2 linked regions of the Ovis aries genome follow. The protein of the gene in region 2 purifies or fractionates together with the protein of the main gene of each other region. This does not show direct contact. Links are inferred from orthologs where the notes say so. Each region holds a gene or a part of one and is shown on either strand. Other genes may lie near its edges.

Evidence for each region. The genes of interacting proteins can lie anywhere in the genome.
Region 1: the proteins of POLR3K (region 2) and POLR2F purify together in Homo sapiens (affinity purification with mass spectrometry; 5 studies listed by BioGRID and IntAct, with this or other methods). This does not show direct contact. The link is inferred for Ovis aries from reciprocal best matches to the Homo sapiens genes POLR3K and POLR2F.

What each region holds. Positions count from the first base shown.
Region 1 is NC_056056.1:215,583,113-215,586,349, forward strand, and holds the end of POLR2F (DNA-directed RNA polymerases I, II, and III subunit RPABC2), read left to right. Parts: intron 1-1,929; coding exon 1,930-2,001; intron 2,002-2,494; coding exon 2,495-2,585; 3' UTR 2,586-2,684; downstream 2,685-3,237. UniProt on the Homo sapiens protein: DNA-dependent RNA polymerase catalyzes the transcription of DNA into RNA using the four ribonucleoside triphosphates as substrates.
Region 2 is NC_056077.1:658,852-663,289, reverse strand, and holds the start of POLR3K (DNA-directed RNA polymerase III subunit RPC10), read left to right. Parts: upstream 1-1,498; coding exon 1,499-1,609; intron 1,610-2,938; coding exon 2,939-3,026; intron 3,027-3,888; coding exon 3,889-4,016; 3' UTR 4,017-4,438. Other genes in the region: SNRNP25 (U11/U12 small nuclear ribonucleoprotein 25 kDa protein), read right to left, coding at 208-313, 516-606, 1,051-1,341, 1,423-1,500. UniProt on the Homo sapiens protein: Core component of RNA polymerase III (Pol III) which synthesizes small non-coding RNAs using the four ribonucleoside triphosphates as substrates. Can mediate Pol I proofreading of the nascent RNA transcript.

The sequences.
Region 1 (3,237 bases), on a different chromosome or scaffold from region 2:
CTCCAGCTCATTAGCCCCATCTGGTGGCTGAATGGTTGCAACTGTGCTGTGCTGTGCTCAGCCGCTGAGTCGTGGCTGACTCTTTGCGACCCCATGGCTGCTTCCCAAGGAAGGTTGCCACTTGGAAACCCTGGTGGAGACATTGAGGGCACACTCTCACATTTCCTGTGAATGTAGCAGGGCTGGATGAATGACTGCTCTTGAATTATTCATATCTTGAAAGAAATAAGGCATATGCATGTCAGGGAAAGCAGTTTGCCACATTCTTAAATGTTGGGGGAAGTTTAAATAATTATTGAGAGAAGATATAGAGAAAGTTAAATACTTGGTTTCTGCCCCTGGGGAATTTTCAGGCTTTGGGGAGTAACAGACATCAGAATATTTAGCAATAAAATTAGTAGATCATTTAGTGTAAACTGGTGGCTCTCAGACTGGCTGGTTATCTGAATCACCAGGGGAGCTTTGCTAATATAGGTTCTCAGGCTCCTTCACTAGAGAATCTGTTCAGCGGGTCTGGGGAAGGACCTGGGAACCTGTATTTTTAGCACGCTCTCCTATCAGGTTTGGGGTCCATTAGTGTAAACTTGAGTTGGAATCAATAAGGGTGACTTCCTAGAGGAGATGGGCCTGGAACTGGTTTGTCTGCTTTTAGACCCTCTGCTGTGGGCCAGGTGTTGCACTAGAATAGAACTTGGGGTCCTGGACCACCAGGTCTTGTTTGGAAAACTTCAAACGGGAAGTCACAGTTTAGTGACAGTGGTGTTGAGAGAAGTGTGTGTGAGATGAGTCAGGGCCCTGAGGCTTCAGCGCGTGCTTTCCAGGGTGGAGACCTCTGAGCCTCTCTCAGGCCTGTAAGAAGAGGAAGCAGTCGTGTGAGGATGCAGAAGGGAAACAACAGGGCCTGCATAAGAAGCTATAGTGGTTTGATGTGGCTGGAATGTAGGGTGAATAGAGGCAGGTAGCATGAGAAAGTACTGCAGAGGTGAGTGGGGGCCAGAGGAGGTCCTGCCTGCCTGTTGGCCATGGGGTATCAAGGAAGAGAGGTAAGCAGGGGAGAGCCTGACCACAGGCCTTGTGTAGGGGCTAGAGGAGCAGGACCCCTGCAGGGGGTGTTGCCAAGACAGAGAAGGAAGACGAGGCGAGCTAGGCCCTGAGGCAGGGCTGGGGGTTGAGTAGAGTGATCAGAGGGTGAGCTCTTGCACATGTGGGTCCTTTGTGTGGGAATATTCTGCTGTGGCCGTGGGCTCAGGAGTCTGTGACAGGCCCTGGGGAAGGTCCTTGGCCAGGGTAGTGGACGTGATGAGTGTCACACGACCCAGTAATGACAGCTCACACTTGTCCCTTTCACAGTACCTGGCTTCAGTTTGTGGATCACCAGTTTTTTAATGGGAGGTGTTACAGAATAGTAGAGAGGAGTCTTCAGGGTTCAAATCTTGGTTCTACCACTCACTGGCTGTGTGACCTTGAGGAAATTACTGACCTCCCTGTGCCTCAGTTTCCTCCTCAGTAAAACGGAAGTAGCAGTAGTGCTTACTACAAATGAGACATCCACGTGGTGGGTGGAGAGCAGCTATGGCGCCTAGTGAGGCTTTGCTTGTAGCCAGCAGCGTTTTAGCATTATTGTTGTGTAGGCGTGGCAGGGCTTTTTGTCTTCATTTTCAAATGAGGATGCTGAGATTTGGAGAGACATTCAGGGTCTTTCAGGCCCAGTTTAAGCCTAGTCTACTGGCTGCCACTCAAGTACCCTCACTGTCGGCAGCCCTGGACCGCTGCTCCGCACCTGCCGCTTTTGGGAGGTGCCCTTTCTTGGGGCCCTTTCTAGGTGAGCTCTGGGGCGCTGATCCGATCCTGTTTGTGAAACTGCCCAGCTTCATGCTGGGCCTTCTCCCTGTGTGTGTGATCTCCCCACACCTGTCCTTACACCTGCAGGATGTGCGCCCCTGTGATGGTGGAGCTGGAGGGGGAGACAGATCCTTTACTGATCGCCATGAAGGAGCTCAAGTAAGTCACCCAGATCCTGGTTTGTGGCTCCAGAGCCCTGGGGGCATCCCTTGGGTGCTCTGCTGCGCGCCTTCCCGCACTTCCCTGCTGGGGACGTGTGGTCTTGTTCCTGTAGACCCTTAGTTTGGGAGTCAGCCCTTCACCGGGGAGGAGGGGACGGGCCAAGGGGGAGGGGAGGACATTGACGAGACATGGACCGTCCCTGTCTGTCCCATCGTCCCTTTTTCCTGCTGCAGTTGGCCTTACCAACATCCCTCTGCTTTCTGCCTCGCCCTTCGCTGTGGGATGGCAGGCCCTTTGTAGATTTTGGTCCCACACTCAGAGAAGCAGGGACTTTTCTTTTTTTTTTGCTGAAATTCCTCACCTACGAAGTACATCCGTGGTCTCAAGAGGATGCTCCTAAGGCTTCTCCTCCCTTGCCTTCTGCGCCTGCTGTCCCTCTGCTGCAAAGCCAGGGTCAGCACCCATGTACCTCGATTTCCCCCGGTCACAGGGCCCGGAAGATCCCCATCATCATTCGCCGCTACCTGCCCGACGGGAGCTACGAAGACTGGGGCGTCGACGAGCTCATCATCACCGACTGAGCTGGAGTCAGCCTCTGGACTGGGCCTCCGCCCGTGGCTCATCTCATAGTCTTTTTATAGTCTTTATACGTGTAAATAGTAAATTCTTCAACCTTTCAACCCCTTCTGCCTCCCGCTGCCTGTGAGGCCCACCTGCGTCTTCACTGTTACCATCCTGCTGCCTGGAGGCTGTGCGCATCCCAGTGGCCCTGGGACCATCAGCTCTTTAAGAAGCACCAGAGCCCTGACCCCCTGGGCTCCCCTGCGTGCCCCCCTCCATCTCACAGTCCACCAGAGCAGAGGCTGCTGCAGGAGACACCTCGGCTGCCTTCCTAGCAGACAGACGCGCCTTTGTGCCCAGGAAGCTGGTTGCCACGGAAACCCCCAATTTCCTTTCCAGTGTGGACTGGCTGCAGGGGCTTCTCCCTTCTCAGGAGTATCACAGAGCAGGTCTCATCAAGCCACCCATTGTTCTCCTGAGGACCTGCCTCGAGCCTCTTATCGTGGGCTGGGATCCCCTTTCAGGAGCCAGTGCCCCCAGCAGGAAGCTTGGGGACGCAGTGATCTGCCCTCCCCGAGAGAGCCCCGCTGGCCAAGTCAGCAGCTGGAGCAAGGGCTGAACACCTGCCCATCCCAGCCACACTGCCCCTCCCATTCCCCACCTGTCAGACCA
Region 2 (4,438 bases):
TGCCCGAGTGGTAACACAGAAGAGCAGCAGCTAGGGCAGGGCCCGCAGGCACAGGACACCTGCCCTTTTTAAAGGCTCGGGACAGGGAGCTTGACGCTCTAGGCCGAATCCTGAGCAGAGCCCAGAAGATGACAAGGCTCGTTCGTGTCCGGCACATCCTCCCCGTCTCCCAGGAAGGGCTGAGGGAGGAGCCGAGGCTCCACTCACCAGCTGATGTGCTGAATGCCTCCCTCGCGCTCCTGCCTGAGCTGCACGTATCTCTGGATGGCCTTCTTCAGGTCCAGGACCGTGGCGTTCTGGACTACAACCACAGCTGCACAAGCAGAAGATCCCCAGCGTCAGGTGGCAAGAGGAGAGCCCAGAAGCTCTGTAACTTCCCAAAGCTCAAGTCTGGGCAGGTGTGGGTGTGCCCAACAGGCCTGGGCACAGCCCGGAGTTCCCACCCACCAGCTCTGCTAACATCCTCTCCTGTGAAGGTTCAGACTGCTCTGCCAGAGCGGGAGGGCAGCACTTACGCATAACTTCTCCATCCATCTTGCACACTCGCACTGTCATTGCTTGGCCGTATTCTAATGCTATTTGGGAATTAACTTCTTCTAAAGTAACCTGGAAAAGACCAAGGATGGAGGTGGGAGCTCTCTTCACCACCCAAAACAACAAAGGCAGACAAGCTGACAGCGTTTATAAAGTTAGGCAGAACCTTCCTGAAGTCTGAGGAGAACGGAAAATGGGAAACATCGATCTTTTACTTTTTACTTGAAAATTACATTATTTCTGCTTACCCCAGGCTTCTGCACACCAATTTCTGGTTGTTTTTAAAACACTGCTGACATGTCAAATGTCCTGACCAGTCGGTTTTTCGGCGCCCCTTTAAATTTCGCACCCGAGGCCAAAGCCTCGCTCGCCTCCAGGCCCGGCAGGAGCCTTCTGCCTAGACGCTCCGCTACGCTCGGAAACGCCTTCCCCAGGCCGAGGCCGCAGCCCCCAGCGGTCCTAGGGTCCGTCCGCGCCCCGACCCCCGCCCGGGGGAACGACGCGGCCCCCGCGCACCTGGATCGGAAGGTCGCAGAGCAGCGGGTCTTGCACAACCATGGCCAGGCCCTCCTGGAACACGTCCACCGCCTCGGAGTGCGGCAGCGCCTCCTCCTCGTCCTCCTCGTCGTCCTGCGGCTCCGGCCGCGCCGCCACCCGCGGCTCCTCCAGGGCGCCGGGCTTCCCGCCGGCCCCGCCCGCACAGCTGGTCCGCGCGACAGAGGTGGTCGCGCACGCGCCGGGAAGGCTACTATATCCCCACCGTCGGGCGTCGGGGGCGGGGCCACTCGAGGACCAATGAGAGATGAGCTACTGGGAGCCGGCCCGCCACTGCTCTCCCTGGGGGCGGGGAGGCGGCGTGATTATTGGTGGGCTGGCAGGGGGCGGGGCGGGGACCACGGGGCGCTGGGAACGCCGGCGCCGTGCTGCCGCGGGCGCTGCCGGGAGCGCCGAGCCTGTGGCGGCCATGCTGCTCTTCTGCCCGGGCTGCGGGAACGGGCTGATCGTCGAGGAGGGCCCGCGCTGCCACCGCTTCGCGTGCAACACCTGCCCCTACGTGCACAACGTCACGCGCAAGGTGGGCGCGCGCGGCGCGGAGGCCGACGCTCTCGCGAGGCGCCCGCGCGACCCGGGCCTTCCCCGCCTCCTTCCCCGCCTGGACCGGCGTCCTTTGGGCCCTGCCGGCCGCCCCGTGGCGCTCCGCCCGCCGCGCGCTGCTCCGGGGGCCTGTGTAGGGCTTTTGCGCCCGGGTCGCTCTTCCCCTCTGTACCCGTGTCACTCGTCGCTCGTGCTTTTACCCGGAGGATTATTTAAAATTGCAGCCTCTTTCTCCACCTCGCCCTTCTCCTAATCTTATTTTTTTAATAGGACTCGTTTGCCTTCCATTGCGGTTTATAATTTACTTGTGCGCCTGGTTTGTTAACACTAGGGTATACATTTTTCAGTTTTCGTCCCCTCTTATGTTCTAGTCTGAACATCTGGGATATATTGGGTATTCAGTACGGAGTGATACATACTGTGTTATAACTCAGTTGTAACTCAGATGTTACTTTCCGTCGATAATGCCTCTTTCCTTTTTAGAACACCTTTAATAATTTTTAGAAGTAGAGCACGCTGGTGTTGCTGCTGCTAAGTCACTTCAGTCGTGTCCGACTCTGTGCGACCCCATAGACGGCAGCCCACCAGGCTCCCCCGTCCCTGGGGTTCTCCAGGCAAGAACACTGGAGTGGGTTGCCATTTCCTTCTCCAATGCAGGAAAGTGAAAAGTGAAAGGGAAGTCGCTCAGTCGTGTCCGACTCTTCCCGACCCCATGGGCCGCAGCCTCCCAGGCTCCTCTGTCCTTGGGATTTTCCAGGCAAGAGCACTGGAGTGGGTGCCATCGCCTTCTCCGGTGTTACCTCATTAGTTTATATGCTGCTCCACCATGTAGCAGTGCTGTGGGAGTTTAGAGTCTGAAATTATGAAGGGTGACATTTCAAGGACGGCTGGTAAAACCTGGAAAATAGTTAGAAAAAGCTCTGTCTGGGCAGAGTGGCTGGGCCACCCTGCCAAGTGCTCCACTTTGGCCTTAGTCGTCTTTGGATGTCTTATTTCAGTGACCAAGTATTGTAGAGGTGGGAGAACAAGAGGGTCACACCAGCGCCGTTTTTCCTTTCCTGCTCAGTTGCTTCATCCAGTCCTCACAGAATCTTTTTATGGGGACATCCCAATTGTGGATCCTCCTGATTCTCATGGAGATTCCTGCTCGGTGACAGCAGGAATTGTGCTTTCCTTTAGTATTCCTCCCTTCATGTTGAAGGCAGGAAGCAGAGTCTGGGCTGATACTTGAAGGCATGGTTTGGTGACCTGGCTTTGTACTGGTCGCTTCCTGGGAGAGTCTGAAGACCTGCTGTTTGTTGTTTGTTAGGTAACAAATCGGAAGTATCCAAAGCTGAAAGAAGTGGATGATGTGCTTGGTGGAGCAGCTGCCTGGGAGAATGTTGACTCTACTGCAGGTGAGAGAGAAAACCTTTCCTGTTTCAGAGCTTTGGGTAAGGGTGCAGCCAGGAGCTGTAGGTAAGGATGAGGCCGCTGGCTGTGCCACTGCAGAGCAGAGTCTGTGATGTATCAAGTGGGCTTCTGAGACTAGAAACTGTTTTCTTCTCTAATGTATTTGTTGCGCAGACAGTATTGGCACAAGCTTTGGAGTGATTCAGACCTGAGTTAGTCTCAGGGTGATCTCATATTGATGCTGATGGGATTAATTAAAAAATCAGTGTAAGGATTCTGTTCTAATATAGTTTTCTTTTAAAGTCAAAGGTAAAGAGTATTAAACTGCCCTAAATATTCTGTGAAGTAAGTATTTGAGTCTTGATTCATCTCTGATAGTGACAGATGTGACCCAGGAAGGAAAGAGAGCCCTCGACACGACCAGGCCAGAGAGGAGGAGGAGCTCAGGGCGATTAGTACTGTCTTTTTACCCCAGAGGGGGCCGTCCAGATTTGCTCTGTTAAAAATCTCTCATGGGCAGAATTTGTCACTGGGAGGTGAATTACACACCAAATAGTGTCTGAGTGTTTGAAGGAGTTTTCATCAAGAGCAAGGTTCTTGAATTGAAATCTCGGTGAAAGTAAAATTAAAAAAGAAAAAAGTACAATCAAGATCACAGGTCTCCTTCCCTCAGTTGTGAGAGCACCGTGGGAATGACACTCCTTTGCAGGAAAACCTTGCAGGGCACCTCAGGCGACGGATACTAGTTGAGCTGGGGAGTGTCTGCTGCTGTGTTTCATGAAATGTCCACTTTTAACAAGCATGTTGATCATGAGGATCGTTTGTTTTTTTTAGTAACCGTGGGTCACTGTTTGTTCTTGTTGCCAGAGCCGTGTCCCAAGTGTGAACATCCTCGAGCCTATTTCATGCAGCTGCAGACCCGCTCTGCAGATGAGCCCATGACCACCTTCTACAAGTGCTGCAGCGCGCAGTGTGGACACCGCTGGCGGGACTAAGGGCGGGGTGGCCCAGCTGCGTCAGCGTCTGCGTGCTTTACTGTCCAGGGTGCATTCCCAGCTGCGAGTGGGAACTGCGTGTCCTGAGGGTCTTGGCTGGCGTGGTGGAAAGCTGACCCTTTAAGGGTGGCTGCCCGGGGAGTCAGGAAGTCCAGCCCGCCTCCCAGTCAGCAGATTAACTCCTTGATGCTCAGAATGTCCAGATTCTGCCCATGCTGTGTGTGGACGGGAGTATCCGTCCCTGAGTGCACCCTGCTGAGGTCCTGCTCTTCCTCTTTCATGTTTATTGGGCAGTTGATGTTCTACCATCAGCCAACACTCTAATATTTACATTGTTTCATAACTAATAAAGTAAAACTTACTAGTTTAGTACATTAGATGCCCCTGTTTAACTGTTAATTGCAAACTTATTTAATTAAAAT